4 linked regions of the Rhinolophus ferrumequinum genome follow. The protein of the gene in region 4 interacts with the protein of the main gene of each other region in a pairwise test. Links are inferred from orthologs where the notes say so. Each region holds a gene or a part of one and is shown on either strand. Other genes may lie near its edges.

What was found.
Region 1: the proteins of DCP1A (region 4) and PNRC2 interact in binary tests that used the Homo sapiens proteins (3 or more experiments, as listed by UniProt). The link is inferred for Rhinolophus ferrumequinum from reciprocal best matches to the Homo sapiens genes DCP1A and PNRC2.
Region 2: the proteins of DCP1A (region 4) and EDC3 interact in binary tests that used the Homo sapiens proteins (3 or more experiments, as listed by UniProt). The two-hybrid records come from large-scale screens. The link is inferred for Rhinolophus ferrumequinum from reciprocal best matches to the Homo sapiens genes DCP1A and EDC3.
Region 3: the proteins of DCP1A (region 4) and RITA1 interact in binary tests that used the Homo sapiens proteins (3 or more experiments, as listed by UniProt). The two-hybrid records come from large-scale screens. The link is inferred for Rhinolophus ferrumequinum from reciprocal best matches to the Homo sapiens genes DCP1A and RITA1.

Annotation. Positions count from the first base shown.
Region 1 is NC_046292.1:16,339,959-16,347,197, forward strand, and holds the start of PNRC2 (proline-rich nuclear receptor coactivator 2), read left to right. Parts: upstream 1-4,221; 5' UTR 4,222-4,393; intron 4,394-5,312; 5' UTR 5,313-5,515; intron 5,516-5,813; 5' UTR 5,814-5,831; coding exon 5,832-6,251; 3' UTR 6,252-7,239. UniProt on the Homo sapiens protein: Involved in nonsense-mediated mRNA decay (NMD) by acting as a bridge between the mRNA decapping complex and the NMD machinery. May act by targeting the NMD machinery to the P-body and recruiting the decapping machinery to aberrant mRNAs.
Region 2 is NC_046289.1:99,281,738-99,289,061, forward strand, and holds the start of EDC3 (enhancer of mRNA-decapping protein 3), read right to left. Parts: upstream 3,019-7,324; 5' UTR 2,880-3,018; intron 1-2,879. UniProt on the Homo sapiens protein: Binds single-stranded RNA. Involved in the process of mRNA degradation and in the positive regulation of mRNA decapping. May play a role in spermiogenesis and oogenesis.
Region 3 is NC_046308.1:7,991,324-7,998,252, reverse strand, and holds the start of RITA1 (RBPJ-interacting and tubulin-associated protein 1), read right to left. Parts: upstream 3,019-6,929; 5' UTR 2,877-3,018; intron 2,845-2,876; exon of another isoform or gene 2,700-2,844; intron 2,536-2,699; 5' UTR 2,398-2,535; intron 1,970-2,397; 5' UTR 1,906-1,969; coding exon 1,604-1,905; intron 1-1,603. Other genes in the region: ATP-dependent RNA helicase DDX54, read left to right, coding at 3,169-3,342, 5,707-5,836. UniProt on the Homo sapiens protein: Tubulin-binding protein that acts as a negative regulator of Notch signaling pathway.
Region 4 is NC_046300.1:48,756,196-48,763,487, forward strand, and holds the start of DCP1A (mRNA-decapping enzyme 1A), read right to left. Parts: upstream 3,008-7,292; 5' UTR 2,928-3,007; coding exon 2,793-2,927; intron 1-2,792. UniProt on the Homo sapiens protein: Necessary for the degradation of mRNAs, both in normal mRNA turnover and in nonsense-mediated mRNA decay. Removes the 7-methyl guanine cap structure from mRNA molecules, yielding a 5'-phosphorylated mRNA fragment and 7m-GDP.

The DNA.
Region 1 (7,239 bases), on a different chromosome or scaffold from region 4:
ACAGCAGCCCACGGCAGCTCACAGTACCTCATTCCGACCTCGGACTGCTCATGGCAGCCCAGCTCCAGGGAGAGCTGTTGTTCACAATCTTATCTGTAGAGCACAAAGCTCACTGGCCCATGTGGCAATCGAACTGGTGACCTCTGCCTTAAGAGCATGGTGCTCCAACCACCTGAGCCACTGGGCCAGCCCCTTATATTATTTTTTGAACAAAAAGATGCATTAGAGCTGATTGATTGTCTGGCTAGGTCTTATTTTCAGGGAAACAGTAAAAGAAGATAGTTATTTTGACAAGGTCTGTTTATACAGAATTCTCTCCACCTCAAACCCTCATCTCTTCTGGTAAGAATGTTTCTTTCTTCCCCATATAGGGAGGACATCTTTCACTCTCTCCTGTTTTCAGGAAGAAAAGGAGGTGGGATGAGATGACCTTCTGGCACCTGCTATTTCTCTAGTGACTTTAGCTCAAAATGATCCTTACGCCAAAGTGCCACGTTTTGGAGTGGCATATTCTGCTCCTCTTCAGCTGGAACTGGAACACCCAAACATCCAGCCTCAAAACATTTGATTTGGAGTGGGCGTTCATGCATCAGAACCCTTTAAAGCTCCCAGAATTTGAGAGCCCCTGGGTCAGAGTCACAGGACCTGTGGGCGTTTAGCATTGACTTCCTGTGCCCCATTTAGTAATCAGACGGAAATGGCTATAATGGCCGAGAACTGATTTGCAACTGCTCAGGAATGTGTGAGCAACTGGGAACACGCAGCAGATGCTTCCCCAGAAAAAAAATTCACCGTGTATGGAGGGGTGTGTGTTTTGATACCAGTTTGGCAACGAGATCAGGGCCCTAAGATCCATCAAAACATCAGGCAGGCACTCCCCTTTACTCTTTGTCAGGTTCCAAGAACTTGCTTCTAGAACCTAACGGAAATAAGCCATCAGCTGACAGACCTGCAAGCATTCAAAGTTGTACTCTGAATTCATACGTAAGCTTGAGGAATAAAAATAACCAAACCAACTCTTTTGAAATCGACACACTGGGCGGTAAGTCACCCAGCCTGAAAGCTTGGGAGTCCAACTAGAGATTTGTTCCACAGGTTTGGCAAACCAGGGTGATTGCCCCAATTGCCCTAATGCTCATGGGATCTAAAATACAATAAGCACCAGCCTGCAACTTGCCAGTCCTCCAAAGGAGGATTGTTACTTTCAGAAACACCTTTAGGTAATGTATCTAATACATTAGGTAAGGAAAGGACTTCAGCAAGTGTGGGAATCCTTTCCTTCTCCCGTCCATTCCACAGGGTTCGATACAATGTCTGTTACCCGCAGTCCTTAGTGATGTTAGCAGGTTGATTTTTGTGTTTACAATCGGCATTGCCTGTCCTTGACTCTCAAGGGAAAAACTGAGGAAATGAATCTCCCAGACACCAGCTTTCCTTTCTGATAAATACCATGTTTCCCCGAAAATAAGACCGGGTCTTATATTAATTTTTGCTCCAAAAGACGCAATAGAGTGTATTTTCAGGGGATGTCTTATTTTTTCATGTACAACCATCTACATTTATTCAAATACAGTCATGTCATCTTCTTTTGGAACATCGTCATAATGTACTAAATGCGTCCGTGTGGCTGACGATCTTAACCGGGGCTTATTTTCGGGGTAGGTCTTATTTTTGGGGAAAGACGGTAGTAAAGGGAAGGGCTTTTGAGTTCCTTTAGGGCCAGGATGGAGTATCATCCACTGTTGTATCCCCAGGACTTGGCAGAGTGCCTGCTTCAAAGAAGACACCAGATAAATCTTTGTTCAATAAATGTTTGGTGTTAAATACCCACGTATTTATTATGCATTTGGCTCCTAGCATTGATGGCTGATCTATATCCTGAAAGCTGTTTGTTTGCAGCAACATTTTCCTGTTTGAACTGAGAACTACTAATTGGATGCTGTTGGTGGAACTGATTTTAAGACCAGCCTGCGGAGGTTGTATCAGATGTCCGAAGAGGGTGTGATTTTCGGTAAACGTTAATGAAGAATGAGGCAGGAGCTATTATATATTGAGAGGCTGCGGCGAGTCTGGGACACGGTAAAGGCTTTAATAGTGCTCTCCTGAGGGCAACCTGACTCTTGACGTTCTGGCAAAGAACCTGGTTCGGCCAGGCAGCAGGATGGAGGCTTCATACTGCCCAAGCAGCCCCAGCAGCCCGTCAGTGTCTGCTCTGGACAAAGCACCTTTCAGGCACTGGGGAGGACACAGAGGTGATTCAGACACAGATGCTACAGGCAGCATAGAGCCTGGCCTCTGGACTCTTGCGTGTGTAGCTTTCAGCTCTAAACTGTCTGACCTTCAGATTCTTCATCGGTCCAGTGGAGATCAACATAGATCCTACCCCATAATTTGTGAAAATTAAATGAAATGATGTGAGCAAAACAGTTTAGCACAGGGCAGGGAGGCAAAGTATTCAATATATTATGTGCATGTTTACAAGTATCCAATACATTACCTGTGTGTTTATACAGATAAGATTTGGAGAACAATTGAATTCTGTAATGCCATTTTGGGCTGCTAAAGTGTTTTTTTGTTTTTTGTTTTTTAAGTGACACAATCAGATCCGTGGAGGATACAGAGAAAGAAGGGGGTGAGGGTGGGAGTGTAGCAGGGATGAATTTGAAAGATATCTGGGGGATGAAAACGAATTAGAAAAAGAAAATGCTCAGATTGAAAACAGATTGTTCATGTTACAAACCATTAGATTATAATAAAAAAATATATTGTATGGGTCTTTTCTGAAATCAAAATTTTGACCCATTAAACACAGCCTGGCTGTTTTCTGGCCGGATGTCTAAGCCAGCTATTTGAAGTTTTAGGAAATAGATTACACGTCAGTAACCTAGCAGCTGTTTACCATGTACAGTAAAGTACATCTTATTTGACTATAATATGATTAGCACCAGAAAGTCCCATCCTCAAAAATATCTCTTCTACATTTTGCCAAATTAATTTGATTAACAAACTCCTTTTTTAAAATACGGTCGCTTAAGTAGTTTTCTTAAGAAAACTTAAGGCCCACAGCTAGAAGAACATAGTGGTAGGGGATGATGACAGTGAAAAATTGATGATTTAAAATTGAGTTATGTGGGACTTATAAAATATATATACAAATCCTGTAACGAAAACGTTCACAGAATTGGTGTTCTCTTTTAAAACACTCACTTTGGGTTGCTTATCCATTCACTCCGCAGAAGTTGCCCTTCCTTTTCCCTGCACTTTGCTGGCATTATCTTTTCTCCTGCTTTTCACTTGCAAATTGGGCACAAAGGGGAATAACAAACTTTCCTTGTGCACTTAACGTGCGAGGCACTGTGCTCAGAAAAATGAAACCTGGCCTTGCCCCTCGAGGGTGTTTTTGGGGATGGGTGGGCAGATACACAGTCGCAAGCAGTTAACGATGCGGCAGGAGGAAGGGCTCTACTCGAAGTTTACGGACCAGTGGGGACACAAAGAGGAAGTGACTGACCTGGTCCGCGCGCGTCGGAAGCGCGTTCACAGGGGAAGCAACTTCTGAATAATTTCGAAGCTGGGGTGGGGAGGACAGGAGGAACCGCAAGCTTTGGGAGCTGCAAGTAAGTTCTCACGCCGAGAAACAGAATGAGGGGAGTGACAGGCTCCAAGGAACAGGGGCTAGGTGTCGGAAAGCAACTTTGTTGAGAATCTCCCAGCTGTAAAACAGTTCCACGACCTGAACTCGGGAACCTAATGGCCCTTTCAGTAATTCCCCCAGGGAGGAAAACCAGCCGGGTCCTAAGGGCCGCGGGCCCGCGGGCCGGAGAGCCAGGTTGGAGCTGCTGCCGGCGCAGACTGCTGACGCCCCATCCAGGTGCCGATCAAGCGACGGCAAAGCTGGCTCCTGGAGTCGGGGCGCTGGCGTCGCGATCCCAGGGAGTTGCCGGGGCGGAAGGCGGAGGCCACCACGGCTGGGGGTGCCGAGAACAGCTGGGTGGACGCCTCTAAAAAGAGTCCGGTGTTAGCCGAGGGCCCGCAGCAGTTGTTCCCGACGTGCTCCTCTCCCGGAGAATTTCAAACCCTCCGCAACCACCTCCTCCTTCGATCGCCCCGGCCGCCCCAGCAACAGGCGGTGGCTCGTGTATCATTGGCCGGGCCTCGCGTTGGAGCGTTTTGATTGGCCGCCATGCCTCTCGGCTCCGCTTCTGCGCTCGTCGCCACCTCCATTTTGTCGGTAGAGGCAGAAGGAGGAGGTTGGGTTGAGTTGCCGAGGTGGTTAGCGGGCTCGTCGGTGCTCGTGGGCTTTGTTCGTTCCGTGCCTCGTCTCTCCCTGGAAGGGGAGGGGGCTTCGTCGCCGAGCAGGAGCCGCCGCTACCGCGGTCCGAGTTTGAAGTCGGTGAGTGGCGGCGGCGCCGCGGGCGCGGCCATGTTGGCCGTCGCGCTCCCCATTGTTGGTGGAAGGAAGCGAGATCCGGGAACCGGGCGGGGCGCGGGCGGCCGGGAAGACCGGGTTCCCGGGCAGGGCTTGAGAAAGATGGAGCCGCTCGGAAGCCGAGCCCCATCGGAAAAAGTGAACTTTCCGGGCTCGCGTTGTGAATGTCTCTAGGTCTGGGAACTCGTAATTTACTCCTGGCTGTTAAAATAGCCTTGAAGGCCCTATTACCCTTTCGAAGAGGGCTTGTTGATAACTTGGTTTCCTGGAATATCAAATGAAAAATCTTGACTTTGTCATGTGCTCCGTGGGGAGGCGTTTTTATATACTTAAGATGGGAACTGGATTAGGTTACGACGTATGAAAACTTAAAACGGGGAGGAGTGGACAGTGTTCCCAACTAAAGAAAAGTGCATGTAGATTGGGAGAAGAGGCTTTGTGAAAACGGATATGTGATGTGTTGAAAGATTGAAAAATTCTGGTGGGACTTTACAAACAAGGTCTCTTCGGGAAACTAATTTTAACCCAATTCCCTTGTCATGGCAGTAAAGGCTAATGCTTTTCTGGTTTGACTTAAATTAACATCGTGGTCACAAAAACTGAGAATCTGAAAGGTCTCAAGGAAAAAGATACAACTTGTTAGGGGACTTGTAGAAACCCATCTCATAATTCCCCAGGAAGGAGTTCCTGGGTATCAAAGCGGATGATGATAAGAGTTCTTAAATGATGACAGTTATAAGCTCAAAGAAAGCCATCTTCAGATTTTCTGCCTTTTAGTTCAGGAAGTAGCCATTCTTTAGTTAACTGATTCTGTAGTAAATATAAATGGTCAGTTTCTCCTCTGTTTTTGATTTGAATTAATGAAGCATACTTTTCTACCTAGGACTTGTCTCAAAACTTGTGTGCTGAGGAGACTCAGATGTTGGCCTCAGCTCCTAGGCTGAAATCAGCAGATTGGCCCATGAAAACTTCTGTATTGAGACAAAGGAAAGGATCCATCAGAAAGCAACATCTATTATCCTGGGCTTGGCAGCAAGGAAGAGGACAGGTAGTGGAAATCCTGCAATCTGAAAAGCAGACTGAAAGGTATGAAAAAATTCACCTTGTAATGGGGCATTTTTATGGTGGACTTACCCTATTGTTTTTATTTTGAAATAGAGGATTTTTCAGATTTGTGGGTAAGCTCATCTTTCTTAGGAAGGTAATAAAAACTATGCATAACGAAGTGTGAACATACAATGAAATTAAAGCAGCCGAATAGCACAGTTTTGAGCCTCCCTCCAGATTTCTGGAGTTGCAAGTTGGGGGCTATGGAAGCTTCTTCACGTTTTGAATTTTTCTTATTGGAATTTTATTCAGTTATTTTGTTTCCGTTCACTTACAGGTGACAAAGAAGCTGAAGATGGGTGGTGGAGAGAGGTATAACATTCCAGCCCCTCAATCTAGAAATGTTAGTAAGAACCAACAACAGCTTAATAGACAGAAGACCAAGGATCAAAATTCCCAGATGAAGATTGTTCATAAGAAAAAAGAAAGAGGACACACTTACAACGCATCAGCAGCTGCATGGCAGGCCATGCAAAATGGGGGGAAGAACAAAAATTTTCCAAACAATCAAAATTGGAACTCTAGCTTATCAAGTCCCAGCTTGCTTTTTAAGTCTCAGACTAATCAGAACTATGCTGGAGCCAAATTTAGTGAGCCGCCATCACCAAGTGTTCTTCCTAAACCACCAAGCCACTGGGTTCCTGTTTCGTTTAATCCTTCTGATAAGGAAATAATGACATTTCAACTTAAAACCTTACTTAAAGTACAGGTATAAAATAAGATAAAGTACTGATGTTCAAACTTAGTTAATTTAAGGGTAGTTGTCAGTTGTTTCATACCAAATTCATTAGGGAAATTAATCTGTGTAAAACTGCTAATGTAGAAAATCTAGACTTCATCTTGTGTGGTGTGCACTGTGATGTAATGGTAGTATCAGTGCAACTTAACTAAATTACTGATAACTGTACCAGACATCAAGTGGTCTCAATTGAGTAACTTAAGTGAAACCATCCAAGTTTAGATTTGGGGAATGGTAAAAAATTAACTTGATTGCTTTTTGGGGTAAAATACTGATTTAAGATTATCATGAATAAGTTAGTCGATTTACTTGTTAAAAGCTAGTGAAACTGCTTATAAGCATCTAGTTAACATACAGGGATTGAAAACTAGTTGAGTATTTGCAAGTTTAATGTCCTAGAAACACCAAAACCAACACAACCTGATGCACTGCCAAAAGAAAATGTGAATTTTTCTTAGAGAATAGTTGCAGTTTAGTAAATGTGGAAGGGGCAACGGGGTTGTTTAGAATGAAACTATACCCCAGTGGCCCCATTTCTTATATGCAGTGGATAGGTGATTGCCAACAAATGCACCAAAACCATTTTTATAGAAAACAATATTTGATGGTCAGCAGAGTAGCTTTCAAAATACATTTTTGTATTATAGCACTGCACAAGCTATTCTTACTGGTCTGGCCTCAAATCATCCCTGCAAAGCTTGCTTAAAGTAGGGAGCTATATAATGTGAAAATTTTGAGTACCTAGAAAAGAGCCATGTAAATATATGTAATAAAGTTGTAGCATATGTAAAGTTTTGTTGGCATTTATCCTACAAAAATAGAGTATTTTAGTATGAATTTGCTGAATGTAAGACCATGGACTTTTTTACACTATGGCCTAATTTTAAAGGTCCAAATAATGTTTTTAAAAGTTTGCCCTTGTGCTAAAGTGCCAGTGTATGTATCTTATAATTGATAGGGTTGT
Region 2 (7,324 bases), on a different chromosome or scaffold from region 4:
CAAAAATTCTTAACAAAATATTAGCAAATTGAATTCAGCAACATATAAAAAGTATTATACATCATGACTAAATGGGGTTCATTACAGAAACAAAAGATTGGCTTAATATGTGAAAATCAAGTAATGTAATACACATTTATACATATCTTAGAGGGGTTATTTTTATATAAGAAAGGCTATTTGTATATTTTTAAAACATAAAATTGCTATTATATTTAGATAACTTTGTATTTATTTTTAAAAAGTCAATATTCACAATGTCAGAAATTACACCCTAAACTTTTAAAAATTAAATGTTTAATCTATTTAAATTTACGAAAAATTTCAGATGCCAACTTAAAAGTGTGTAAGAGATACATAAATTTCCCAATGTTTTGGACACTCTCAAGCAAAAATGTGTTAAGACTACACTGACCCCAAATATGCCTGAAATGACAAGGGGAAAAAGAATTACTCATGCCAAAGGAATGCCACCGTATCTTCAGACAGCCAATAATAAATTCTTTTTAAAACTGACAAATTCCAACTCCTTTTCACTACTACCCCCAAATTAATTTACTCTTACAGAGTACCCAGACCTAAACCTAATATTCCAGGTGTGAGCCAACCAGTTCCGGGGTCAAGTGATGTACCTCCCTCATTCTAGACCTTCCGTTCCCTTAATGCAACTAGCGACTGCAGGCCCCACCAGTTCTCCCAGTCTAACCACACCCCTGAATCAGATGACTGAGACTCCACTTCTTTTTATTACGTGAGCCCCTCCTAAGTCCCATCTCTACATTAACTGGTATAACTGAATTTTTTGGATCCAAGGGAATTCCTCACGTTTATATAACCCTTCCATTTCATTAAATTGCACTGGGAAAATCTTGAGATTAACCAGATGATACTTTCTCTCTTCACTTCATTAAGGCAACATATTTGATAGCACACCTTCCAGATAAGACTTCAAAAACATACTGTATATAAACAAAGTGACAGAGTCTCAACTCAGATCAACAGAATCCCAGCTATAAGTGGGATCAAACTGCTCAGACACAGATACTCAAAGTTATGACTCCATCTAATTTTAACACAATCTGGCAAATTCCTCCATCTAATTCACGGGGCCATCATAAAAGACTTAACAAATGCCTTGTTAAAACAGACACACTATCACTATGCATACTACATTCCTTTGGGCCACCATTTGCATGTCCTGCCCTGTTGTTCTGGCTGAATTTATAACTTGAGTAACTGCTACTCTGGCTGAGAAGAACAGAAAAATGACACATTTTCCACTGTGCATTAACTGCAGAATCTTAGAAATGAATCACAAGGATTTAAACATTTTCTAGTCCAGTGTTTTTCAAATTACAGGCCCATTTCAGGCCCATTAGTAGTCAATGTAAGTGAGTTGCAATCAACTTTTTTTCTTTCAATGAAATGGTGTCAGAGGGCCTCATATGTAGAAAGGCTAAACTTTTGTGGTGTGTGTGTGTATACACTGTGCATACAGGGGGCATACTGAGTCATGATGTAGTTAGTATGTACCTAACTGGGTCATAATTTAAAAGTTTTTTGTTTTTTAATTTTTTTTTAACAGGACTTTATTGGGGAACAGTATGTATTTCCAGGACTTTATTGGGGAACAGTGTTTTTCCCAGGACCCATCAGCTCCAAGTCAAGTTGTTGTCCTTTCAATTTTAGTTGTGGAGGACGCGGCTCAGCTCCAACTATAGTCACCAGTGTTCAATCTTAGTTACAGAGGGCACAGCCCACCATCCCTTGTGGGACTCCAACCCGCAACCTTGTGGTTGAGAGCTCGCGCTCCAACCGAGTCACCCATCCACCCCTCAAAAAACTTTGAGAGAAACTTTGCTAGTTCCGCAGCCCTACTCCCACAAGGAAGCGCCATCAAAAAATTCTTAGTAATCAAAAAGTTACATTATTTATAACCATCTTCACTTCATACAAAGAAACCAACAAACAGGAATTTTGTGCTCAGTACACCTATCTGCTATTCATTTAAAAAAAAAAAAAAGACTAGAATCCATCTGAGGTTTCCAGTTGATATAGGGACTTGCTCAGAGACAGTCACTTAGGCTTTGATGGGATGAAAACCAGTATCGACAGACAGCAGAATGAAATTACCTTAGTCTGAGGCCAGGAAAGAAAAGAAAAACTATTCTGGGTCTCCAGTTCCTCATGTTAACACGGAAGAGGATCCTAGCTCCAGAATTGGGAGATTTATTGAAAACCAACTGGCCAAGGAGGCAAGAACTATGCCTCCCACACACCAAAACACGTTCACCACGTCAACAAGTCAATTATTGATCAAGTCAATCAATCTCACACACAGAGTACTGATGAGCAGCTCAGACTTATACCACCACCAAGAAAGAATCAAGAGGCCGACCCCAGGATTCAGCAGAAGCTGGGCCCTGGCAGGTGTCATAAATTTCTCCGCCACCCTTCCCTTTCAGACCCCAGTTCACCTGGGTCCTCAAGCTTTCAGTCATGGATGTGGCACTCGCACTCTTCCCTGCCACCCTACCCTACTGTGGAAAGGGAGATGAGGCACGGAGCAACGAGTGGCCGCGCCGCAGCAGCCATCAACAAGGCCAAAGCAAGAGCCTAGGCCGCTACTGCCTCCCACCTCAGCCAACTCCCAGACTGTCCGGACACCCGCGGTCCTCTGCTCCCACCTCGAACCACACACCCCCCGGCAGCCCCGAGTTCCTGGCCCGCTGCGTGCCCGAGGTGGCCCCACCTCGTGCCCGCCTCCATAAAGGTCTCCGAGGCCTGGAACCCCGAAACCTAAAAGCAAACTCGCCTGGCAACCCCGGAAGCCCCCTCTCACGAGCGCCCACAAACCAGCCGCCGCCCCTCGCTCCCACCTCCACGCCGTCGGGCCCGTGTATCCTCGGCACACCAAGCCGAGCCGACCAGCCGCGCCACGGAACCCGGAGACGGAGGGGCCACTCCACGCCCACCCCCACAGCCGGGGCCGCCACTGCCGCCGGAAGCGCCCCGCGTCTCCACGCCGCCGTCGTGAGGTCACTTCCGGCGCGACGCCTTGGAAACCTCAGGGTGCGGCTTTGGGGGGCGGGGCGCCCGGGAAATTTGAGAGCTTGAGAGCCAGACCTGCGGCCTCCCGGAACCGCGCCGGGGCGGCCGTTTTGCATGTCCTTTCTACTTATAGCGGCTGGACTCCTGGTTAGAATCGGTGTCCCGCCGCCCTCCCCGGCCCAGATGCCGGGGGACTCCGTTCTTTCTTGCATTCTTGAGGACAAGCTTCGGCTTTCCCTCCCCGCTTTGCGCCAATCTCCGAGCAAGAGCGGAAGACTGGGGGGAGTGGGGCTGGCCACCCCGTCCTTAATCAGTGGCAGCTGTGGGATGCTATAAGTAGGCTCTCCGGACGGATTATAGGAAACAAGAAATTCCCTTCGTGGCTGATCTTCAGTTTATCAGCTTATGTTCATTTGGGGGTTGTCAGCCAGTCTATGCTTGACCACCCCCGTCACCCGCCCCCAAGTACTTTGTACACGCGCAAGTGCCACTCTTCCCGTGGCATTTTAGTTTTGGAAGTCTTGATTTTGAAAAAAACAGGCGTTTAGGGCTACGACTGAGTGTAATGAGGAATGTTAGAGTTTAAAGTTTACGAGGTCATCTTGAAGCCTGACAGCTAGTTTGGGAACCACTGGTTGGACAGGGAGTAAAGAGTAGGGCAGCGATCCAAACCTGACTTTTCAAAATCAGTTGATGAACTTTATAAAATTTCCACTTTCCAGGGACTCCCCTCCTGTCCCTCATCACCAGAGATTCCAGTAAAGGAAGAGGTGCAGAGATAGCCAAGGAAATGTGGGTAAGCTGGCCCATCCAGGGAAATATTATACAAGTACCGTGTTTTCCTGAAAAAAAGGTCCAGTTAAGATCGTCAGCCAGATGGACACATTTAGTATGTTATGACGACATTCCAGAGGAAGATGACATGACTGTATTTGAATAAATGTAGATTGTTGTACGTGAAAAAATAAGACATCCCCTGAAAATACGCCCTCATGCATCTTTTGGAGCAAAAACTAATATAAGATCCAGTCTTATTTTCGGGGAAATACGGTATAAGACCTGGTCTTGTTTTCAGGGAAACACAGTAGTTCAACTGGATGGAGCATATATGTAAAAAGAGGAAGTGATGATAGATTGACGTACAATGATAAGCAGGAGCCATATCCAAAGGGCTTTCTATGCCCCAAGGAGCTTGGTTTTATCCTGAAGACAACGTAAAACAAAGACGTTTAAGCAAGAAACTATGGTGGGAGTGAGACCAATTGACAAATGATGACAATCCAAACTAAGGTATTACAAGTTGGGTTACAAGGTGTAAAGGTGTTGAGGAGATAGGATCAACTCCCAGGTGTATGGCTAAGGCAAAAGATTGTTTGGTGGTGCTACTTACTCAGATATGGAATTGACAAGAATGAGGAGGATGTGGGCAGGCAGTAATAGAGGAGGAAAAGGAAGTAGATGATAAATTCAGGTCTGCATATATTGAGCTTAAGGTACCTGTGGGAGCAGTTAAAAATCCTAAGACTTGGAAAACTGGGGGCCTTGCCCTAGATCCCACACTTTAGATGGCCCCCACTCTGGTTCTCAAGCCAAGCCTTTCTCTGTGGGGCTAAGGAGACATGATTACCTAGAGCTCACACTCCCACTTTCAGACCTGCTCCATTTCTCATTCCTGGGATTCCCAAATGTCCTCCCAAATGACCTGAGTCCACTTTCAGCCCGTAGCCAAGTCTCTTCCCCAGGTTTGTCCTCCTGAGGGTGAACTCACTGCCATGGTGTGAGACTCCTAGGCCCAAGGGGTGGCCAAAAACATGGCTGTTTGGGAACAGTGTGAATGGGGCTTGGATATTTAGGCTGGGATGTTCACAATGTGGACCTGAGAAGCCCCTCACAGTATGGGATGGAATAGGGGTGGGAAGAAATGGGGAACAGGTCAGGGATCTCGTGTGTGCTCTTGCCCTGGCCATGCTCATGTTAGGGAGTCTGCTAACTAGATGCTCATGTTAGGGCCTCTAGTGGGAAATGGATCATGGGGGTGTGGCGCTGAGGAGAGAGATGAGATTTAGAAGTCATCAACAACCAGGCAGTAATTAAAGTCCCAGTAATGGGCGCTGTGGTCCAGGAATAACACACCACATGAGAAGGGCCAAAGGCCAAGGACAGAACTTGGTGGAACACCAGCATTTAAGGGATACACACAGGAAGAGAATGATTCAAAGGAAATTGAGAAGCAGTAGCTAGGAAAACAAGAAAACCCAGCAGTTGAGGATGCCAAAGAGACCCAGGAAAAAGACTTTTAAGAGAGTCGTCAACAGTGCTGACTACTGTGAAGACGAGGAAGTCTGAAAATGTCCATTAGACTTAGCAACCAGGAGGTGCCTGGTGATTCTGACAGGGGTTCGAGCGTGGAGTGAAGGGGCCAGAAATCAAATTTCTGTGGGTTGAGGAGTGAATGCAAGGTGAGCAAATGGAAGCAGTGAGTGTAGAGAACTTCAAGAGGTTTGACTGTGAAGGTGAGAAGTGAGCTATGACAATAGCTATGGAGGCAAGAAGAAGGTGACAGAATTTGCTACTCACCAAGTTCTTCTGAAGTCTTCCCAAACTCCTCAGTTAGAGAATTCCACCAGGAACTGCTGGTTATAGACAGTTGTTTGAGCTGGATGGACCCTTCCCGGCCCTACAGTCAAGTTTCTGGGGACCACTGTAGATAAGGGGGCACCCACTTGCCTCTCCTGATGTATGGAGACTTGCTTCTGCTTTCATGTGCTGCAGTCCTCACTACCAGTAACAGTCGCCAACAGGGACGTCAACCATTGGAGAATTAAATAAATTCTTAGGTTGAGAATAGCACAGCACTAATCCACAGTCCTTGACTTGCTGGCACGTCGTGGAGTTCTAGAATGGCAGAGCTGGAAGGAACCTTAGAAATGGCCTGCTTCACCCCCATTAATATAAGTGGGGGTTTAGCAAGTTAATGGTGGATCCAATACTGGGATTTGGGTCTCCATTACTTACACATAGAGGAACATATGTCCTGGTTTGCCTGAAACATTCCCAGTTCTTCCCATTACCCTGTCATAAGGATCAATATCACCCCCTTTACTCTCAAATATGTTCTGGTTTAGACAAATTCTAAGTCACCCCACTTATCTAGTATAGGTTTGGGGGCTAAGCAAGCCCCAAATTACTAATTACTTAAGATTATTTTTGCTTTATGTGATCTAAAAGGTTTAAGTGTCTTAAACTCTTACATGTCATTTTGTAAGTGAGGTAATGTACATGAAAGCAGGTCCTGGACTATAAAATGCTAAACAGAGATTAGAATTAAAAAGAATAACTTTGGATTGAGCAAGCATTTCTTAAATATAACACCAAAAGTACAGGCAACAAAAGAAAAGATAAACAAATTAGACTTCATCAAAATTAAAAAGTTCAGTGCTTCAAAGAACATATCAAGAAAGCAAAAAGACAACTTAAAGAATGGGAGAAAATATTTGCAAATCATATCTGATAAGGGTCTAGTATCCAGAATAAAGAACACACACGCCTCAACAACAAAAAGATAAACAACTCCATTTAAAATGGGCAAATGACTTGATAGGCATTTTTCCAAAAAAGATATACAAATGACCAACAATGAAGAGGTACTCAACATCACTAATCATTAGGGAAATGCAAGTCAAAACCTCAATGAGGTACCACTTAAGACCCACAAGGATGGCTATAATTAAAAATAAAAATTAAAAAATGTAAGTGTTGGTGAAGATGTGGAGAAATTAGAATCCTTATGCATTGCTGGTGGGAATGTAAAATGGTGCAGCTACTGTGGAAAACAATGTGGCAGTACCTCAAAAAGTTAAACATAGGGGCCGGCCCGGTGGCTCAGGTGGTTAGAGCTCCGTGCTCCTAACTTCGAAGGCTGCCGGTTCGATTCCCACATGGGCCAGTGGGCTCTCAACCACAAGGATGCCAGTTCAACTCCTCGAGTCCCGCAAGGGATGGTGGGCAGCGTCCCCTGCAACTAAGATTGAACACGGCACCTTGAACTGAGCTGCCGCTGAGCTCCTGGATGGCTCAGTTGGTTGGAGCGAGGGCTCTCAACCACAAGGTTGCCGGTTCGACTCCGGCAAGGGATGGTGGGCTGTGCCCCCTGCAACTAGCAACGGCAACGGCAACTGGACCTGGAGCTGCACCCTCCACAACTAAGAGTGAAAGGACAACAACTTGAAGCTGAACGGCACCCTACACAACTAAGATTGAAAGGACAACAATT
Region 3 (6,929 bases), on a different chromosome or scaffold from region 4:
GAGACAAGATTCAAACCCAGCCTGGCTCAAGGAGCCAAGCTCTCCATCAGTAAATCAGACCTTTAGGCCTCTCACCTTTAATTAGATTTATTCAGCAATTATTTTTTAAATTAATTCCACAAATATTCATGGCATACCTGTGAGTCAGGTCCCTGGTTTTTTTGGCCAGGACTGAAAAGTGCTTCCATTCCCAAACTTCAAATCTTTGAAAAGTCAGCCTTTTGTCACTTGATTCAACTATTCAAAACACGTCTGGTTGAAGCCTGTGTCTGTCTGGTGCTGCAGTTTTTGCTCAGTAACACCTCTACCTCTTATGCACCTTCTCACTTGACACCCTCTACTTCTCAGCATCCAGCACAAAACTCCATTCTTTAGGAGAGCATGGGGTTGACCGTAACCTCCCTTGATAAGGACACCATACTTCTGTTAATGCAGCCTATCCTGACATCAGTGTTTTCAGCCATGTTGTAGGTATCAGCGCTGCTAATGCCAACCTGAGCCTGCCTTGTGGTTCACAGAACTTGTCAGGTGCATCGCCCCCAACCTGACATAATAAGGAATCTTGCTTTTATCTCATTGAATTGTATCTCCTTAAATAGACACCATTCCCTTCTCTTGACTACTACGGTATGTCCCTTCTGACTCAGAATGGATCCTAAATATGACTGGTTAGTTGTTATGGACTGAATTGTGTCCTCCTAAAATTCATGTTAAATTTGAAAGAGATAATTAAAGTTAAATGAGATCATAAGGGCGGCGCCCTAATCCAGTAGGAATGATGTTTCTATAAGAAGAGATACCAGGCGTGCACATGCTCAGAGAAAGGCCATGTGAGGACAGCGAAACAGTGACCATCAGCAAGCCGAGGAGAGGCTTCAGGAGAGACCAACAGCTGGCCCCTTGATCTTGGACTTCAAGTCACTAGAACTGTGAGAAATAAACGTCTACTGTTTAAGCCTCCCAGTCTATGGTACTTTGTCATGGAAGCCAGAATTGATTAATATGCCAGTCTCCTGTGTCTCTGTCCAAACCACAGGTAACAAGATAGAGCTCTGTGGCTCACCACTAGATACTTCTCCAGGCTGTATTAACCTGAAATAACCCAAATAATCTAATTATAACCTAATTATAACCATTAGCATCAGCTCCTGATTTTCCAACTTGTTCATGAAAATGCAACAAGAACTGTTTTCAAAATGACTTGCTGAAATGCGGAACTACCACAGCTATGTCATTTCATGATCAGTCACACTAATAATCTTATGCAAACTGCTCTGTCATCTTGGGCAAATCCTGACCTCTCTGGGCCTCAGATGCCTGGTCTGTGACGTTTCGGGATGTGTATTCCACCGTCATAACCTTTATTACTACCATTTATCGAAAATTTCCTAATTGCCTGGTTACCGTGCCAAGCACTGTACACACACCTCACTCATTTAATCCTCTCAACAATCCCATGAGATCCCATTTTTCACCTCAGGAAACTGCGGCTCAGAGACGTCAAGGTGCTTGTCCAAGGTCACACAGCATGTGAATAGCAGGGTTCTAAGAGGAGCCTAGCTGGCTACACTGAGTGCAGGAGTGCATTTCCCCATCCTGTTACCTGTATTTGTTCTTCTTCCTTGGTGTGAGGGTCGCGGTACTGCCCCTGGAGGAGGTGGTCTCAAAGCTTCTGTTGGCCCCCGAGGCCTGTGAAGACTCTGTGCCCACTCCTTTGGTTCTGTTGGCCTTCTCCACCCAGGGTGGGTCAAAGTCTGGTAGTGTGGGCCGGGTGCCCACAGGGCTGCCAAACAAAGTCTCATCCACATACGATGGCTTGGCCTTGACTTGATAGCCACCCCGGCAGCGGTGCTGGCGGTGAAGGCTCTGCATCCCAGTAATGGTCAGCTCCACAGGGGTCTTCATGCCGTCCGTAGTCCCAGGTGACAGTGGGCCTGCTCTGCCTGCCAGGCCCTGCCTCCAGGGCTCCCTGTGAAAGGGGGTCAGAGTGCCACCCCTGTGTCATCGGCAGTGCCAGCAGATCAGGGATGGCAGTCTCTTAGGTCCCCAAGGTTCTCCCTCAACAGCAAAAGGGTCAGGTTCTCCCTCAAGCAGTCCTCCTCAAAGGGGAACTGCCAACCCCAGGGGACATTTCAGAAATTTGTTTGACTTGTTTTTAGTTGTCAGAATGATGGGGGTGGATGGGTCTTACTAGCAAGTGTTTAATAATTATGTATTCCTAGCATACAGTGTGTGCTCAATATTTATAGAACGCTTACGGGGATAAAGGAAAGATGGGACCTGTGCCCATTTTGGCACCAACCAGAAAACAAACAATGGGGCGAGACAGGACAGGTCCCTACATCCTGTATATATCTATGGGGAAGTAATAATAATCCGTTTTGATCTCATACCTACCTCGTGCAAAGAGCTTTAGAAACATCGTCTCATTTAACCCTCTCAATAGTCTTGGGAAGAAACTTTATGTCCATTCTACAGATGACAAAACTGAGGCTTCAAAAGGTGAAGTCACATGTGTAAGTCACACCTACAAAACTAAAATAGAAGTGGAATTGGAACCTGACAGGAGTCCAGAGCTTGTGCACTTAACCATTCTACTATAGGGGGATCCCTCCCCCACCCCCCACTACCCCACACGCCCCAATCCCCAAGTCAATGCCCGGGTTGACGTCCGACGTCCCTGAATTCTTATTTCCTACCAGAGCATCTTGTCTCACGGATGCCGGCTGTAACCCTCAGTGCCCCTCCCCACCAGCTCTGGACTCCTCTGTGGGGGTGCCTGAGCACCCGCGGTGCATCCATGACCCCCGTTTATCTGGAGTCGGAATCCCGGAGCCCAGAACCCCCCGCCCCCGGAACCGCGCGGACTGACTCACCCCGGGTAGCCAGGCCCTAGCGACGTGTGCTCCGCGCGCGTCTCAAACAGCAACCAGCCAGAGGCGGGGCGACACGGCCGGAACCATTGGCTCCCGGGAGGGGGTCCCCCTTCTGAACGCTCCCGGAGATGCCCAAAGCCTCCGAGAGGGGCTTCGCGGGCCAGTCAGGGGATCGTGAGAGGGCGCGCCGAGCTCCCGCGGCGGCAGAAGGGGCGGGAGCGCGGCCAGGGCCGCGCCGGTGGTACGTCCCCGCAGACTCCGCCCCTTCCCGTTTCCTGGCGCCGGGGCCCGCATGGCGGCGGGTACTAGCCCGGCGGCTGGACCGCGGTCCCGAGCTGCCATGGCCCAGTGGAGGAAGAAAAAGGGGCTCCGGAAACGCCGGGGCGCGGCCCCCCAGGCCCGCAGCAGCGACTCGGAAGACGGCGAGTTTGAGATCCAGGCGGAAGATGACACCCGCGCCCAGAAGGTTAGCGCGGGGCTGGGACACACGTTGGAGCCCGAGCCCCGGCTCCGCGCAGCGCCCCGCGGCCTCCGTTTCCCCAGCTGGGGAGTGGGCACTGCGGAGGGTGGGGAGGGGTCGCCTGGCCAGGAGTCCGGCAGGTTTGCCGGCCTGAGCACGTGTCTCGGGCCTGTCAAGCCCCGGGTCCTGGCGGCTGGAGCCGGCGCGTTCCAGAGGCTAGGGCCTTGGGGCCTTCTTGGCCGGCTTTTGTTCGCGCCCCTCATTGGCTATCTCCTACACAGGGGCGGGTCCTAGTTCCGTTTCGTCCAATGAAAAGTGCGGATTTTGAAGCTCTGAGTTTGGAGTTTAGGGGATTCTTGAGAGGTTGAATTTAGGGGAGGCCGGACGCCGCAGTTTGGGACAGTGACGCCCCCAAACCTCTGGGAAACTAATAGTAATAAATTAAACTTGGGTTTGTTTACCGTTTACTGTGTGCCAGGCTCTGTGCTAAGAGTTTTAAGGAGCCTTATCATTTATTCCTCACACCAACATTGTAAGCTAAGTATTGTCGTCCCATTTTCCAGAGGAAGAAGCTGAGGCCTAGAGGGTTAAAGGAACTTGACCAAGACCTCATAGCTTGTAAGTAGGAGAGGCAGGATTCAAACCCGGGACTGTCTGGTTCCAGGGCCTGTGCTATTTCCGCTACTGAGTGCCAACTGTAGGCAAATGGGGAAGGAGGGCAGGTGTGTGAACACCAAGCAGGCAGAACTAGCTCCTTATGCCCCTCCGCCCTGTGCCCAGCCAGTGCCTGGCACAGAGCAGCTCTGGGTAGGTAGGTGAACAAGCAGGTGTTTATATGAAGAGGGGTCTACACTCCAAGGCAGGGACCAGACCTTGTCCCACTGTTCCCCATCAAGCCAGTGCCTGGCACATAGTAGGTGCTCTAAATTTGGAGTAACTGATAAAGGTAATGAGCAGCACAGGAGGAGGGCAGAGTACTAAGTACCAAAGAGGAGCCCACATATGTGCGTGGTTCAGATCAAGGGCTTTGTCCTGGCACAGCCCTGTGTTCAAATCTGGCCCAATCCTTTTTTACTGGCTGTGGGACATTAGAAAAGTTGCTTAACCTCTCTGAGCCACATCTGTAGAAGGCAGAAGTTTCCACTTGTGTAGAACGCAGATGAGTATGTGTACGTCACAGACTGTGAAAGGGATTAAATGACGGTATTCGTATTTTCTGCTCATTCCGTAAATATTGGTGGGACACGGGTGTGTTCAGACACTTTGTTGTCATGTGTCTAGAGCACATGACTGTAAAGAACCAGATGGTAAATGTTTTAGGTTTTGCAGGCCTGTATAAGGTCACTGTCTCCTTTGTTTGATTTTTTACAATCTTTTAAAATGTAAAAACCATCCTTAGCTCATAGACAGGCTGCAGCTCTGACCTAGATGGTGTAGTGGACCATAGAGGGTCACAATGCAAAGAGCACAGACTCTGATCCCCCACTTGCTGTCTAGCAGGTGACTTTGGGTCGGTCACTTCACTGCTCTGTGCCTCAGTTGCCTTCTCTGTAAAATGGATAAAATAATAGTTCTCGTTTCCCAGGGTACTAGTGAGGATTAAGTGGGTTAATCCACAGCAGCAGCTGGCTTAGAATAAGTGCCGTGTAAGTTCTAGCCATTATTATGAATTAGTGCTCCATACGTGTTATTTCTGAGAGGAAGGGGATAGTCCTGTAGTCTGAGAAGGCTCCCCAGAGGAGGCGTCTGGGTTGGACTCAGCTGTGTTAGGACAAGTGGGTTCTGGATGGGCAGAGAAGAGGCAGGCATGACAGAGACTGGAGTTAGGGAGAGGTAATGAATCAGAAAGAAGATTGGGGAGAGGGGGCAAGGCAGCTTGGAAAAATCTAGTACCTCCACACATAGTAGATGTTTTGATGGGCTCTGTAGGGTTTTTAATTTTGAAGGCTTTGATTGACAGGCTAGAATGATGATTCTGATATCACCATGTGCTGGGCGCCATTCTAAGCGTCCCGCATACCTGTTTAGTCTTCACAGCACCCTGTGAGGCATATACTTTTGTCATCCTTGTTTCCCAGATGTGGAAACACAGACTCAGGGGGATTAAGTCCCTTGTATGAGGTCTCACAGCTGGTAAGTGACAGAGTTGGGATTGAAACGCAGGCAGTCTGTCTGCAGATCCCACTCTCTGCCCCTTTGCCCTGTCTGGCCCAGTCAAAAGAGAGCCTGCTAGCAGAGAAGTCATGTAACCTGGCAGGCGAGTCATAGGCTAGAATGGGGGGCAGACTGGGAACAGGACAGCCCCCCTCCCTGCCACCAGTGGTCTCATGGTGCCTGGAGTTTTGCTGCCTCTCTGTTCCTCCCCCGCAGCTGGGACCTGGCAGACCACTGCCCACCTTCCCAACCTCAGAATGCACCTCGGACGTGGAGCCTGACATGCGAGAAATGGTGCGAGCCCAGAACAAGAAGAAGAAGAAATCGGGAGGCTTCCAGTCCATGGGTGGGTGAGCCAGCCATCTGGGGATTTGGGGAGTAGCAGTGGGGCCCTCCGTGCTCTGCTCTGGGCCCAACACTGTGGTAGGTGATGGGTTGACCAAGGCAGCAGACATGGTGTCCAAGCCAGTCAGGGCCTTCTTGTGGGGACAACAGGCCTGACACAATGAGAAAACGGTTAGAGCAGGACTGATGGTGACGCTGGTGCAGGTACAGGCAGAGACATTCGGGATTTACTGCGTGACGATGGCATTTCAGAGCAGAGAGGGAAAGATGGAATAATTGGGTGGGATTGGGACACCCGGCTAGATGGCAATAAAGCTGAACTCTCTTTCTTGCTGCTTACAAGTCAGCATCTGGAGCAAAGATTTAAATATCAAGATGAACATTTTTATCATCTTAGAAAGGAAAAGAAGGCCTTTCTAAGTGTGACCCAAGCACTGTTTAATTGGACTCTTTTTTCAGTTAGACACATGTATGCCAAAAAACACTGTAAACTAAGTTAAAGTAAAGTGCTATCAGGAATATATTGCAACCTATGGGACACACAGAGAGTAAGTATCCTTTATATGCTAAGAGCTTTAACAAATCAATAAGAAAAGGACAGGCACCCCAGAGAGAGCTGAGTGAAGAACATGAATAGTCAGCTCACAAAAGGAATCTAGACAGCCAATTACTATATTAAAAATGTGCTAACATTCATCAAAAATCAAAGAAAAAAGCAAATAAAAACATCTACATGTGGTTATTTTTCGCCTTTCTGAATTACCAAGGTAATTGCCCAGAAAGCAGCTAAAATCACGGCGCTTTCCTGTCTCTGGGCCTCCCACCCTCACAAGCCCAAGTCGCATCCCGTCTCCAGAGCCACCTCCTCGCCCTGATAGCACCATGTGGCTCATTTGTCAGTGGCCATGCTCGCAGCTATCACCGGCCCTTGTCATGGAATACTCTCTTCTTTTAATTATAAATTACAGACGTATGAAAAATGGAATCCTGCGGGTCTCCACGTACCCATCACCAACTTCAGTGGTGTTCAACTTGGCCTTGCTTTGGCCACGCCCCACTTACTTGTCCCCATCGTCCCGGAGGAGTCTGAAGCG
Region 4 (7,292 bases):
ACAGAAAAGATCAACTTATTTATTCTAAAATTAATCACTTTTGAACAGGTCAAGTAAGTCTCTCTCTCCACAACTACTGTTACCAGATTTTTTGGTATCCTTTCCATGCTATTGATGCATATTAACGTACATGCAATGTTTGATCCAGCAACATGCCTGTATCTGCAGCATTTTTCTTTTACAAATTTTAAAGGAGAAAAACCTAGAATTAGCTTTCACTTTTTAAAGCAAAAACGTTTTAGCCAGATTTTTAATTTTTTTAAAAATAAATTTTATTGGGGAATATTGGGGGACAGTGTGTTTCTCCAGGGTCCATCAGCTCCAAGTCGTTGCCCTTCAATCTAGTTGTGGAGGGCGCAGCTCAGCTCCAAGTCCGGTTGCTGTTTTCAATCTTTAATTGAACCGGCAACCTTGTTGTTGAGAGTGCGCACTCTAACCAACTGAGCCATCCAGCCGCCCCTCCGGAAGCTCAGCGGCAGCTCGTTTTCTTCAATCTAGTTGTGGAGGGTGCAGCTCACTGGCCCATGTGGGAATCAAACCCGCAACCCTGTTGTTCAGAGCTCACGCTCTAACCAACTGAGCCATAGGGCCTCCCAGATTTTTAAATTTTAAAGCAAGATCCTTGGTACAGCAATTTCTTCACTTGTAAAGTTTCTCAAATTTAGTAGGGGAAAAAAAGGAAATTTTATCTTATAGGATACTTTGTTTCATCATTGGGGGATTTGGGTATACTTTCATTGAGTATCAAATGTGGTTAGTTAAGAATTACTGTCAAACACAACTAGTTTGTTATTTTTAGAACTTTGTTGAAGCATCATGAATACTGAAACAATTCTCTGGCTTAATGTAATTATTGTAGGTTTTACAAACAATTAAAAAAATTTTTTTAGCTTAAAGTGAAATGTTTTGATTAAGAAAGTACAACTCACAACCTTCTTTAATTTGCTGTGACAAGAGTGTATTTAGGTCTTAAATATAGTGACAATATCTTAAAAAACAAAAACAAATAACCATATTAGTCTGCATTTCAGTCCAGATAGGGCCCAAATATTTTAATGTAATCAACAAATTGTTAGAAAACTTTATCAAATTGAATTTGTTGGGATAAAATTTTTTTTAAAAATTATTATCTTGATTTCTTCTAGGAGTATTGCCCTAGTTTATGTATCATCATGGAGCTTTTCCTTCCTAAGGATTCAGAGGCTTTTTCTTGACTTTCAATTTTGTTATTAGTATAAGAAATTGGTAATCAACTGTCTCACAGTGAAAGAAAACATGCCCAAACAAAACACTATGCAGTCACAACTCACTGTAAAATAACAAAGAGAGAAAAGATTTTAGTTATGCTCTATGTGCCATAATCCAAATGAACAAACAATGGCAGCTTATTTCTCAATTCAGGTTATTATGGCTTGTATTTCTATTTTTAAAGAACTCCACAATTAACATTCCAAAAAATTCAAAGTCTGTGAAAAATTAGAAAAGCTGGTTAGTAAATCAATCCTTGCCCAAGTCTTCAACATTTGTCTGCAATCCATATTTCACAAATTTATGTGTAGACCAAGAAAAGAAAAATTATTCAGAACAATTCAAATTAAGGCAATGTCTAAAACGGCTACACTTAAAAAAAGAAGAAATCTGTAATTTTGTTCTTTGTGGCTTCTCATACCTCTTCCAGATCAAGGAAAGAAGAATACAAAGCAAGATATTTTGACAACTGTTTTCATCTGAATTAAAAATGCCAAATGATTTTCACAAAGTTACTGTATAAATATAACATATCTGTATTATATTGTAAAGGACCATACTACGATGATCATCTTTCAGAGTTTTGTTAGCATAAGAATTTTGTTTCTTACTGAAATGTGAACATCAATAATTTATGAATTCAATCCATCAAATATTTACGATTATTTTCTAAGTGTAAATGTAAAGCCTATAACTGAATGAGTTCATTAAGGGTCAATTCTAGAAAACAGAAAATTGTAGTTTTAAACAACAAACGAAGCTTCAAATGGGTCAACAAATCAGTTCAGTGAACAGACTGTAACTTTTCGGATCCCCTCGCGTGCAAAAAAAAGCTTAAAAGTATTTAGTCTGATGTGAGATTTTGGAGGTGACATCACCAGCAGCATAGGTGGAACGAGACACATTTACAGGGTCTCTTTTCCAAAGGTTTCAAGGGAATCCAACTAATGTGAGAGCCCTTTTTCTAAGTGCCTTGAATTCTTTTCCAAAACTCTGGAAATACAGTGTAGTTCGATAAAAGACGGACTATCCCCACTTCCTCTTTTCCAAGAATTGAAACTAATTGGATTTCAAGCTTTAAATCCAAATACCTGTGCGAAAGGGGCTCTTATTTACGTGTTTGTGGGGGGGAGGGAGGAATGTTTACTTTATAGATTATGTATATGTAATTTAATTAATGCCCCTCAAACCCTCCATCTTTCAGGCATCTTTCTGACCCCACCGGTCTCATATCCTCTAACACATCTGCGAAGAAGGCAGGTCGCCCACATCCCCGAACCCGACCCTAAGGGGAGACTGACCCTCCTCCAATCCTCCCCTCTATCGGCTTTTCCCCCGGATGTTTTGGGCCCTACTTCTCTTGCACCTCTCTCCCAATCCCGGGCCCCCAACATCCTTCAGGCGCCGGCCAGGCTCTCCTCCAGCCCCTGGAGGCGTCTATGCCGCCTTGGCCTCCAGCATCGCCCCCAGCCCAGGGTGGTCCGCGCGGCCCCTTTAAGAGGCGGCAGCCCGGCGGGCGACCTCAGTGTCCTAGCGGCACTCACCCACTGGTTGGCCTTGGGGCAGAAGGTGTATAGAGCGACCTGACCAGTAAGGTCTGCGATGCTGGTGATGTAGGGGTCGTGCTGCTTCAGGGCCGCTAAGCTCATCTCCTGCCCAGCTCGACTCAACGACTCCATCTTGATTTCCGGAGCCGAGCCCCTCCGAGGGGGCGGAGTCGCGGACAGGAAGGTGCCTTCGAGGCAAAATTCCCCCAGTGCGTCAGCGCCTGCAACTTCCGCCTCTCCGCTGGGCCTTGCAGCGGGGCGCTACGTTAGCTATTATGCTCCGCTGCGCTCATCCCCCGGGCACCAGGTTCCGGCGTCCTTGGGTCCTAGGTCCCCAGCCATCTGTCTCCGCGTACACCTAAATGCGGCTGAGCTGGCAGGCGGGTGTCCAGGCGCTTCCTTTCCGCGGACTAAACTGTCCCGAGGTCCGGAACAAGGTGCCCGCGAGTTTTCTCCGAGCTCCTGCCGGTTGAGGTTGGAGACTGACGCGGGCCTACTTCGGCTGGCTCACGGGAAGGGCCCGGGGCGGTAGAACGAAAACCTCGCCGTGGCAATGAAAGGCTCCCCGGGCCGTTTAGAAAGCACAGAGAAGCGGGGAGGTAGAGACCTCTCTTCGGGGAGAGACCCCGAAACTTACCCCAGATCTAAGAGCTCACTAGATCACTACCGTTAGCAATTTGGTATTTTTCTGAAAGAAAATTTTGGAAAAAGCCAAACGAATCCTCATGTAACTACACAGGAGTGTCTTGCTATCCATTTTTGTTCCTTATTTTCCACGTCTGAATCCCAGGTAAATCTTTACATCCTGTCTTGGGAAGAGCCTGGGAAGGCTTGAGTTTGTCGTGCATCATTTAAAGATTTTAAAAAATAGCTCATTCTTTTAGTAAACATTTCTTGGACATTTTAAGGCATTTTAAAGAGCTAGGTACTAGCTAGAGAAGAACAAGGTGTAGAGACTTGGAGGGAGCTCTGTGTCCCCCCCCCCCTTAAAAATTTTTTTAAATCGAAAAAATACTCCAATGGAATGTAATTTTTTGAAATGAAAAACCCCCATAACATAAGTATTGTTTATGATTTTACATCCCAGGACGATTTGTTAATGGAAAGAGGATTCATGTCTTACATTCTTTTCAGAATCACATAAGAAGCATGTACAAATGCAAACAAGGAAACAGGTATTATTCATTAAGCAAGTATTTAATGAACTCCTAACTACATATGAACTGGTAGGCCTTTGGGAGCCTCAAAGACGGCTTAAGACAACTACCTGGCTCTGGGAGAAACCCCAAGCAGTAGGACAATGCAAGGAAATTGGGACAGTGTTAGAGATGGTTCTCTTGAACCTAGAGGATGGAACCACCGACTCCATCTCCTCAAGAAAGTCTAGGAAGGCTTCATGGAGGAGGTAATGTTTGAATTAGTGCTTCAGGAGTTAGTAGCTCCTTCCATTTCACACTCCAATGGTGAGGTAGAGAAAGTGTGGTCCTCCTCGTTGGACAGATGATTTAATTGAAGCCTGGTGGAGAACTCACTGGCTTAAAGATCCACAGGAGTCGGGATCTGGTATAAGAATACTGGGACTCCTCCCTTTTACCCCACGGTCCTTTTCTCTACAGCCTGGCTGCCTTTCTTCCTCCTGAAGACACAGCTGTACACCTACTTTCAGACAAACATTTGAACAATCTGTACCCTAATTAAAAAAAAAAACCACATACAATGTAAGTACTTTTTGAATAGGTACAAAATTCAAAGGCGCACCTGAAACTGAATTTGATTTTTTCTTTCTAAAAATTATTATTTTTTTATTGAGGTATAATTGACGTATAACATATTAGTTTCAGGTGTACAATATAATGATTTGATATTTGTATATATTGCAAAACGATCACTGCAATAGTCCGGATAACATCGGTCACTATAATAGTTACAGTTTTTTTCCTTATGTTGAGAACTTTTAAGATCCACTCTCCTAGCTACATTCAAATATGCAATACAGTATTATTAACTATAGTCACCATACTGTACATTACATCCCTGACTTATTCATTAGTTATTTTTTTTTACATAGATTTCCTAAGATAATGTAAGACATCCTTTATTTATTATTTTTGATCGAGCAGGGCTAGACTAGTGAAGAACACCAAGATATTTTAGGGAGTTTTCATATTCAGAATAGAAAATCCCTTCAAAATGCACGTTTCTGTGCCCCAAAACATGTTAATGTCTTTAATGCCCTATATAGCTCATAAAATTTATTAAAGAGAATGTGATAATTTTGGAATTGAAAATCATCCTTTCTTACTGTGCGGTCTGATTTTGCCTTAAAATATTTGTCAATCAAACGTTAAGTCATTTCTATTTATTTATTTATTTATTTATTTATTTATTTATTTATTTATTTATTGGGGAACAGTATGTTTTTCCAGGACCATCAACTCCAAATCAAGTTGTTTTCAATTTAGTTGTGGAGGGCACAGCTCACTGGCCCATGTGGGAATCGAACCTGTGACCTTCGTGTTATGAGCACTGCGCTCTAACCAACTGAGCCACCTGGCCACCCCATTAAGTCATTTCTTGTGTCTTGCAGGTAATAGGCTCTGAGAGAGCAGAGATTCACCTTAGTCTATTAGGTCCCCAGTACCTGGCACAGCCCCTGGCAGAGTAGACTCAATAAGTGTTAGTGAATGAATGTCATCTTAAAATCCAACACCTTTAAGGCCATAGAAGAGACTAAAAAGAGGTGGGTGCCTGGGATCAGAGGTGGGAAGGAGTCTTAACTCTGCACTGGAAAACCTTTGGTCACTTTTGAGTTGTGTTTCATGTCAATTATTTTTTTTTAAAATACAAATAATTTAAAATATGAAAAGGTAAACTCCAATCATCCAAACCCCACGTCTCTCTGACTGGGTGGCTTTGTAAAAAAAGAAAAAACTTTCCATTTAAAATCATGGGGTCTAAGGTAGAACTGGCTAGAATCCTTGTCAGAAGGTCAGTGTTTTAGTTCCAAATCTGCCAGCTGTGTAACTTTGTCAGTTAGTCACAGACTTCCCATTTCTCCAGTGTAAAATCCAAAGTCCTTGTCATGGCCTGGGAGACATTCCTCTGTCCGGCCTCCTGCTGCCTTTCCATCTCCACTTTCCATGAATTGCCCTTTCAGTTATTCCACCCTAGTCTTCCTAGCCTCCAACCTCCTTGCTATTCCCATATATACCCCAAATGAGTCATGCCTCAGGGTCTTTGTACTTGTTATTCCCCTTTCTGGAACATTCCTCTCTCTGGTATCTCTGTGATATCCTGTCGTCCCTTTCCTCACTTTCTCATCAACATAAGAATGTCCAAACCTGTAGAGAATTTTTATAAGAATTTACTCAAGCCAAACTGACGACATGCTGGGAAGCAACATCTTAAATCTCTGGAGAATGACAGTTTTGCAGCTTCTTTTATACATTTAGAATTAAGGAGGGGATGGAAGGAAGCTTACAAGAAGGTGGGAGAAAGCAAGTTACAGAATACCATGTTTCCTCGAAAATAAGATCTAGCCGTACCATCAGCTCTAATGTGTCTTTTGGAGCAAAAATTAATATAAGACCCGGTCTTACTTATAATATAACATAATATAATATAATATAATATAATATAATATAATATAATACCAGGTCGTATATTAATTTTTGCTCCAAAAGATGTGTTAGAGCTGATGGTCTGGCTAGGTCTTATTTTTGGGGAAACACAGTAGCTAACAAAATTAAGTGCTTCCTTGAGGGGTCAGGAAAAGAAGATTACTTCTGGCATTTCAAAGGTGTGTTAACCTAGATGCACAAGAACAAGGGACAGGGCTGGCTTAAAAACTTTTTACTAAAGAAGTTGCAGGCCTGGGGCGTGACTTCGTACCCTGACCTACCCAGTTAGGAATTTATGATCAGATCACTCACGTTACTTTCGGTTAGATTTATTACCGCACCCCTTTTTCGTCCACATTCTTCATAACACTCATCGACAAGTTGTAATTTTTTAGTTTACTTACGTTTTGTCTGTCTTGTCAGTTCAATGAAGCAGGAACCACGTCTGTCTTGTTTACCATCACATTCTCAGTGCCTGGCCAGAGGCAAGATCTAATACGTATTTGTTGGATTAATTGGAATGTTAGGATGTTTTTTCTTTGTTGCATAAACCTGAGAGAAGGGATGGTTGTTTCAACTTCACATCTAACAAAGCATTTGTTTGTTATAAGTGCTAAACAAGTAATAATGCCTGATTTGCTTGTATTAATATATTTTGATTCTTAGGCTCTATGCCTCCTGAAGCAAATACAGTTTTAATATAGTCCAGAACAATCATTCAGCACATTTTCAGTCTTGTAAATTTCCCCATGTTTAGTTTTTCTCCATCTCCATCTCTCTTCTCTTCCTCTTTTCCCTCTCCCTCTCTGATTTTAAAGATCTGTTCAAAAAGTATCTGCTTATTACTGTTTGTCATTTTAGGCAGAGAAACCAAACT